Linked DNA regions of Cricetulus griseus. The protein of the gene in region 2 purifies or fractionates together with the protein of the main gene of each other region. This does not show direct contact. Links are inferred from orthologs where the notes say so. Each region holds a gene or a part of one and is shown on either strand. Other genes may lie near its edges.

Region 1 (4,148 bases), on a different chromosome or scaffold from region 2:
ATAAGAAGGTAATTCCCTAAGCAGATTTTACTCAATTATTCTAATGTAGTCTACGAAAAGCAATATGATGAGAGTAAGAAAATAAGTTTTCACTGTAGTATCACCAGAAGGGGGGTAGGGCACAGAGATGGGCAGCCCCTGTAAGCCTGACTCAGAATTGAAACTGTTTTCTTTTCTGGGAGGAAATCTCAGTCTCAAGACTGTAGACTCTAGAGGAGCCCAAAACATTCAATGGTAGGGTTTTCTGACTTATTATAGACTTGAAGTGTGTGGGTGGGTGGGAGACAGTGTTTAGAAAAGGCAAAGTTAAAACCCCTTTATGATAATGTCTTTTACAGCACGTGAATTTACAAAATGGGTTCAAAGAAATTATATTTATTGTATTTTTAGTGCCTGGGAAGTCACGACTTACTAGACAGGTATTCGATAAGTATTGGTCGAATTAACGGCCTTTATCCACATGCCTTTTGAATTCTAGACGCAGCCCGGGTCTTTACTCCATAGAAAGCAATGGAGCTGGAACCATAAATCCCTTAAAAGGTCAGGACCAGTTAACAAGGCTGAGCTAACCTCCTGGGCAGTGCCACACACACAGGCTGAAAGCCATGAAGGAAGAGGAATCAAAACAGGCTTAAAGAGACAGAAAAAACAAAACAACAATAACAAGCGAGCCTAAGAGGAAAGACATTTCTGCTGTGGGTGTTAGCAGGAAGCGACCGCAATTACCGTAGGTCATCATACCCCTGTCAGTAGGCGATCACCTCGGTCACAGCCACCAGGGCCGTGGGGAAGGCTCACACCCCACTTTTTTCAAACGCTCTCGATCAAGACTGCGCAGCCCGGGTTCACCCGAGTTCCTTGGAAAGAGCACCGCCAAGCACCTAAGGCTCGACCTGTGTCCACTCCATTCAAATCACGCAGCCAATAGGAAAACCCTCCGCCCTGGGCAGACGCGTCGCGCGGCAGGGCGAGCCCCGGAGGCAGGTCAAGCCCGGTACCGCCCGCTTCTCCAGCCGGCCAAGCGGCCGGCGTTTCTCCAGAGCTCTCGGTCCCGCAGGACAACCTTTCCTTCCCGGCTTCCTCCCTCCCTTTCCAGGATCGTCCCAGCCCCCGCAGTCACAGCCACACCCGCTTCCCTCCGGTGGCGCCCCCGCCGCCACACTCGGGCGGCCGCGCTCTTCCTGGGCCGGGCCGGAGGGCGGGGAACGGAGGGGAGGGGACAGGAGGAGGAGGGAGGCGGAGCGCGCATGCGCACTGGCCGCGGGGCGCCTCCCCGGCCCGGATCTCGCGAAGTTACGCTCAGCCGGGCCGCGGCTGACGGACGGGCGGGCGGGCGGTCGTGCCGGGGGCGGGAGGGCGTCTGTGGGAGGAAGAGAGGTCCAGCTCTGCCGGGCTCGCCCCAGTGCTCTGTGGGATACTGGAAGTCTCGAGCGTCTCCTCCCCGGCTCGCAGCTCGGCTCCGGGCCGCTCTCGCAGCCACGGTCGCACACCCCCCGCGTCCCCTCGCCGCCGCCGCCGCCCCCTTCCCCCGCTCGCGATAAGAAGAGCCGGCGGCAGGAGAGGGGGATGAAGATGGCGGACGCGAAGCAGAAGCGGAACGAGCAGCTGAAGCGCTGGATCGGCTCGGAGACGGACCTCGAGCCTCCCGTGGTGAAGCGCCAGAAGACCAAGGTGAAGTTCGACGATGGCGCCGTCTTCCTGGCCGCCTGTTCCAGCGGCGACACGGACGAGGTCCTCAAGCTGCTGCACCGCGGCGCCGACATCAATTACGCCAATGTGGACGGACTCACCGCCCTGCACCAGGTCTGTGCGCCCGCCGCTCGCACTCCCACCCCCACCCCCGGGCCCACGCCGTTCTCGCGCCCCCGGGCCTCTCCCGGTCGCCGGTCCTGAGGCCCGGGGGTGGTGGCGGGAGACTCCCTGCTGCGGGTGAGGGGGCGGCTCCGTCCGGGGAGGCTGGCCGCGGGGCTCCGGGGCCCCTTCAGACCCCGCTCGCTGCCTCTGCAGTTGGGAGCCGGCTGGTTTCCTGGGCGCGGGGCAAGATGGGACTGTGGTCTTGTGGGGGGGAACCCCAAGGGCCATTTGTGGACCTGTGTCTGGTGCTCTGGGTCAAGACGAGCAGGAGTGTGTAATGGATTGTGCCGAGGCCCGGTGTCAGTAATACACTGTTGGGTGTGGGGGGGGGGGAGGATGTAGAAAACCACTAACAGGGTGACTTGGGCAAATGGACCCCCTTGGCCTGGAAGTGAACATTGGTTTTGGTGTACTTTTTTAGGAGTTGATTACAAATGATGATGATAATAATAGTAATCAAGAACCATAGCCCCGGTGCCCTGAGCGAACGATTTCCTGTTTTCTCCTTTATTACTCTTGGTCACTGGGGAGGGGAAAACGGGGTGTAATTAGCTAATCTGCAGAGGCTGAAAGAGAGGGGATGGTCGTGTATCGGGTAAGGGAGTCTTCCCAAGTGGGCTTGCCCACTTCTCCACTGAAATCTATGGATTCCTGTACTCGAAGAGTTTGTCGCAGTGTCACAGATCCCTGAGTCCTGGCTCCTGGAGTGTGCAGCGGAGCTAGAAAGAGAAGAATAAACACTGCACTCTTCAAAGTCAGTTGCCAAACTTTGTTGTTGTATTTTTCTTTTGGGGTGGGGGCAGAAAAAAAGAAAGCTAATCACAATCTTTTCTCAAAATGGATGCTCTGTGCACGTTAAAGTTTTATAGTAGTCCGATTGGGATCTCTCAGTGTTAGCCAAATAAGGAGAAACTATTGGCAATCCAGAGATAATGTTGCTTTGCCTTTAACAAGCCAAAAGCAACAAAACCCTTAAGAGTCCTGCTTGAAAAGCAAGTTTTAAGTGCTGGTAATAGGTGCCATGGCATAAATTCTTTTATTTTCATATTAAGCAACTTGGAATTACTAGGAAATTGACAATGAAAAAGACTTATCTGGCTATCTCAAAATCGTCCTGGTTGTGTGAAAAATCAGTTTTATTTTAAATAATACTGTGGTTAAAAACTCGTTTGGGTGGTTGAAAGTTAGGGCTTCACACTTTGTATCTGAACTTTACATTTTGTGGCTATTAACTTTGTACCTTTTAGAAAGGCATGGTATATTTTCCTTATATTGCTTCCTGCTTTAGTAAGCGATGACCATTTTAAGTTTTATTTAATCAAACTCGAATATCACACTTGGCGTTTAGCCTTTGTTTACAGAGCTGACTGGAAGGGTTGAAATGACTGACAATTTGCAGGACAGATCTGGAATTCAGAGTGGCACCCAGTGAAAAGTACAGCGTGGTATCTCTAATGTAGTGCATCTGCCTAAAGCTTAAAGCATAGTATAAGTCAAGATCACAAAGCATGATTTTGAGAAGCAACTTTGGCATTAAAAAAATGTAATTATATAAAATGGGGGGAAAAACACCCTGAAGTTTCCTTTCAAATGTCTGTGCAAGTTTAGTGTGAAATTGTTTCTGAAACACAGTTACTGTATGTCAGAATACTTGGATAATGGTTCATATCAGTGTGTTTTCTAACACTGCTAAGTAGAAATGTAAAGTTACCCTATAGACAATTTACTGGATTGAAGGAAGAGGGCCAATTCTCTCTCTTTTTTTTTAATATTGTAAAAGCTGTTTAGGCAGTAGAAAACACATGGAATTGTCTTTGAAAGACTGTTTCTCAGTTTTTACTTCTTTAAAGAGGCTAGACCCACTGATATCTTCTTGATTAACTGAATTCAGTGGTTTGGTGCGTGTACTTAATAGTCTTTATTATTGAGTGTTTCATTTGGGTTAACAGGCACATAAGGAGAAGTTTCTGAGTTTATGCCTTTTGCATAACTGATTGGGTGACTAGTCAAATATTTTAGTACTCAAAAGATCATAAAATAACTGAAATATTTGCCCAGCCTAATTTCTCTTTAGTCTATTTGAATATTCACTCAACTTTTTAGTTTGGATAAAATTACCCAAGTTTTTGTTAACAGGAGACAAGTTCTGGGTACTTCACAACCCACAACTACATTCAACACCTGCATTTTCCTTACATTTATAAGTGGTTTGTAGTTAAAGGTTTATTTATTGGTTGAATGAGCTCTCATTAAAAGCAATGAAAGAAACTCAGCTATTGCTCTTTATCCCGTTG
Region 2 (3,960 bases):
TGAAATGACTTCTTGAATTTCAAACCAGCTACTGGCTGCAAAAGCAAACAATTAGGGGAGGGGACCACTGCCATAGTCAATAGGGCAAACTATGGTCACACATACACACACACCCTTACAACCAGCACTCACTGGATCTGGCAAAACATAATCCCTAAACCACCTGCTCTGAGGCTTGCTACAGTATGAATTATAGACCTTTATAACACACTCTGCTTGGTGGGAAATGAGAGACTGGACATTTTAAACAAGTACCCAGCTAGTACTGCCTAGGCCCACTGAACTGGAGTGGGAAAACCACTGTTGTGTAAGTTTTGGTAGATTTGCTATCCTGAGGGGGAGGGGGATCGCTTTCCAGATATAAGCATCCATTCTCAGTACAAGACCTGTGATCAGGACCCACACTCCTTCTCAAGCAGCTTGTGAGATAGGCTGTGTTCTGTTTTTGCAGAAGGGGAAACAGAATACAAAGATTAAGGAACTTGCTCAAAGTTACAGATTACCATGGCGATTACACACGCATGAAATCAACTGGACAAGTTCCCCTAAAAGCTTCGAAATACAGTGGACCCGGCACCAGATCCTGGTTTTACATTTCCCAGAATCAAAGCCCATCATAACGAAACTTTGATTCAGTCTCGGCTGGAAAGGACCCAAGTGTCAATTCAGTTAACGATCTCTCCACACCTCATCCATCTACTGAGATCTGGTCCTTTCAACTTCCTCCTTCCATTCTACTCCGTAGAAGTTTGTTCCAGTGAAAATTCAAGTTAAGCCCCATCTTCTCAAACGACAGGCATCTGGTGCTGCTAAGGTTCTCAGGTCCACGAGCACTGTCCCTGAAAACCTGGGATAGACACATCTAAAATGCGCGCGCCAGGCAACTCAACCGAGGACACCGCGAGGGACGCCCTGTGAGCTCCCGGGAGCCGGGCGCTGCGAGGGGCACTCACCAGGCGTCCCGAGCTCTCTCGTGCCTTCTTCACCTTCCCGTAGGTACCCTTGCCCAGGGTCTCCAAGAATTCGTAGCGGTGTCGCAGGTTGTGTTTGTGATGGTGCCGCTTCACCGCCTGCTTCTTCATCAGGGGTTTGGGCGACTTGATGAGCCCGTCCGCCAGCGCACGGGCGCGCTCGGTAGCCAGGGCGGAGGCTGATGGAGCCTGGCCCGCGCGCCGGGGGAAGGCCACCGACTCCATTGTGCGGGACGGCGAGGCGGAGGGGGTCGGGTAGCAGCAGCGCGTGGAGAGCCTCGGGCTCAGAGGTCACAGCCGTACCCCAGCGCGCTGGAAAGCCTCGCGTTCCAAATTGCTATAAAACGTTTGGAGGGGGAAGGCCCTGGCCACGCCCCCTACTCCCATTGGCCCGCTTGCCGGCGACTCGTGACCAAGGCCTATGGCATTGGCTCACTGGCTCCTGCCCCGCCTCCTCCCCTTGGCTAGGCGCGGAAAGGTGTGAATGGAGCCCCGCCCACCTGGGCCCGAGGGCTCGGAATGCCAGAAAGGAGGTTGAGCCGAATTACTACTGAAGTGCTGGTCCTTACTTTTGAAGGCTCTCTGAATTGCTTTTGCCTCTAGATGGCGCCAACCTGTTCGATTGTGCAGTTTTCTGGGTTGTCAAGGGACAATCTGAGGGGCACTAGAAGGATCTAAGTTTTTCTCCACACGTAGTAATTTGCTTCTCCCAAGGAAAAAAAAAATCTGTAAAGCCATTTGATAACCTTTTCAGGCACATAAAGGAGAAAGTGAATAAGGAGATGGAATGGGATGAGGGCTGACTCCAGCTAAACATGGGTGGAGAGCTAGCTGCCCTGCAACTAAGTTCACCCGGCTGCTTGGATTCCATCAACTTTAAATGGACTCAGGAATCCAACAGGCCAAGTCCTTACCTCTTCTGGGGAAAAACAAAAGGATTTATAGGGTTGAGTGGATTCCCTCAAGAAGTGGTCGTCTTTATGGATTTTTCATTCTTGAAAAAAGTGCATCACACTCCAGGGACTTACTACCCTGTGTCCCTAAATCTATAAGGAGCTCGCTTCCTGGTCCCAGAGTTTCTTCCTGTGATTTTTAGCCAGAAGAGCAGGTGGTTGGGTATGAGATTTTGCTCCATTAGAGAGACCTGGAAGGCTAAGTCCAGAGCCCTCTTTTCTGTTGTAGAGAGTGAGTGTACTTCTACCAAAGGCCACACAGCTGGCAAGAAAGCCACAGAGCTGGGATTCTGATGATAACCTTTAGAGATGAGAACATAGGACAAGGGGACTTGCCCATCCTCCCGCCTCTGCATCACCTCATCTCCAGCTGTGTTTTCAGGGCTTGCAGAGAATCAGACAGAACCACATCCTCAATTATCAAGTTTTGTTGTTGTTTAATCTAGTATCTGCTCATTTTTCTACTTCTGCTCACCTTTTGAGTCTTTCCAGGGGAAATGACCGGTATCACCATGTTTCCCTGGAGCCCTCTACAGCCAGAAAAGATCCACCAGGAACCACCCTCTCTGAATCTGTTTTGCCCACAAACTGTATAGCTGTTTTGGCGTCCTATCTTCTGCCACCATGCCTTCCCATTCTGAGTGATCTGTGAAAGTAAAAAGGCCCAGGAGAAGTTTCATCTGACCTGCGATCTACATTGATAATGTGTGCCGGGTCCTGGAGGCCCATCCAGACCGATTTGGACTCTGAAGAGCAGGCTCAGGCTGGGAGACTGACATGAGAACTGGAGGGGGCTCCAGAAGAAAGGAGGCTAGTTTTTGGAGGCTCTTCCTAAAAACAGGGCTTTCAAAGCCGAGACTGAAGGGCTAATGGCAATTAGCTAGCTGGATCAAGATTTTCTCATAAGATAAACAGTTATTCAGAGGAACCCAAGATTCCCTTTTAGACTTAATCTAAAACAGATGGTGGTGCACACCTTTAATCCCAACACTTGTGAGGCCGAGGCAGGCAGAAATCTGTGAGTTCGAGACCAGCCTGGTCTACAGAGCAAGTTCCAGGACAGCCAGGACTACACAGAGAAACCCTGTCTCGAAAAACAAACAAAAAACCAAACCAAACCAAAACAACAACAACAAAAAAGACTTGATCTAGAAGCGTATCACTATTTTTTAAACATCTCCTGGTGTACTGCTGAGCAGATCAAGATGCCAGTGGATTCACACTGACCAAAATGGATGTAGAGTGGAGGCAGACAAACAGACCTGGCCATTAGAACTACTGAAAGGGGCTGGAGAGACGGCTCAGCAGTTAAGAGCACTGGCTTTGCCTTCCAAAGGACCAGGGTTTAATTCACAACACCGGTACTCTGGCCCACAACCAGCTACAACTCCTGTTCTAAGGGGTCTGGTGGTCTCTTCTGGGCTCCAAGGACCCCAGGCACACTTGTGCTGCACAGACATATATGCAGGCAAAGTAGCCCCACAAACAAAATAAACAACAACAAGACTATTTAAGAGCTACTGAATAGAGCAACCAAGTACTGGAACTCAACTTTTATTCTATAAAGGGAGGCTTGGGAGGTGGCTCAGTGACTCCAATCTTGGGTTTAGATGTTTGTATAGGATGTGCTGGGATGTCTAGACTGAGTAGGGAGCCACTCTTGGTCCTATCTGCTTCACACTCCAGCCCTAAGAAGAGGCACTTCTCACCCTCACACCCAATCATCAGCTAACTGCTTAAAGACCCTTGAGGAAAATAAGCCATCTGTGTACTTACTGGGAAGAAGTGTCCGCTCCTGTCCTCCTGCACACCGTAGTCTGAATGTGCCACATGTTGGGGACTGGGTGGGATGCGGGAGCACCTCAGATCGAGATACTACGGCATGTGCTAGGTGTAAGGTGTAGGCAGGAGCACGGATGAGAGGCTGCAAGGCTCTGCTGGGGGGCAGGGATGGGGAAGGGTGGGGAAGGCAGGTGTCAGGCACATCTTGGGGGATGACTAATAATTAGCTTCTCGCTCTCAGGAAATTTTCGGTT

The links. Proteins that work in one complex are often made in the same cells at the same time.
Region 1: the proteins of Nuak2 (region 2) and Ppp1r12a purify together in Homo sapiens (affinity purification with mass spectrometry; 3 studies listed by BioGRID and IntAct, counting the BioPlex papers as one, with this or other methods). This does not show direct contact. The link is inferred for Cricetulus griseus from reciprocal best matches to the Homo sapiens genes NUAK2 and PPP1R12A.

The regions. Positions count from the first base shown.
Region 1 is NW_023276806.1:147,071,349-147,075,496, reverse strand, and holds the start of Ppp1r12a (protein phosphatase 1 regulatory subunit 12A), read left to right. Parts: upstream 1-1,338; 5' UTR 1,339-1,566; coding exon 1,567-1,803; intron 1,804-4,148. UniProt on the Homo sapiens protein: Key regulator of protein phosphatase 1C (PPP1C). Mediates binding to myosin. As part of the PPP1C complex, involved in dephosphorylation of PLK1. Capable of inhibiting HIF1AN-dependent suppression of HIF1A activity.
Region 2 is NC_048598.1:56,849,909-56,853,868, forward strand, and holds the start of Nuak2 (NUAK family SNF1-like kinase 2), read right to left. Parts: upstream 2,802-3,960; 5' UTR 1,197-2,801; coding exon 954-1,196; intron 36-953; exon of another isoform or gene 1-35. UniProt on the Homo sapiens protein: Stress-activated kinase involved in tolerance to glucose starvation. Induces cell-cell detachment by increasing F-actin conversion to G-actin. Expression is induced by CD95 or TNF-alpha, via NF-kappa-B.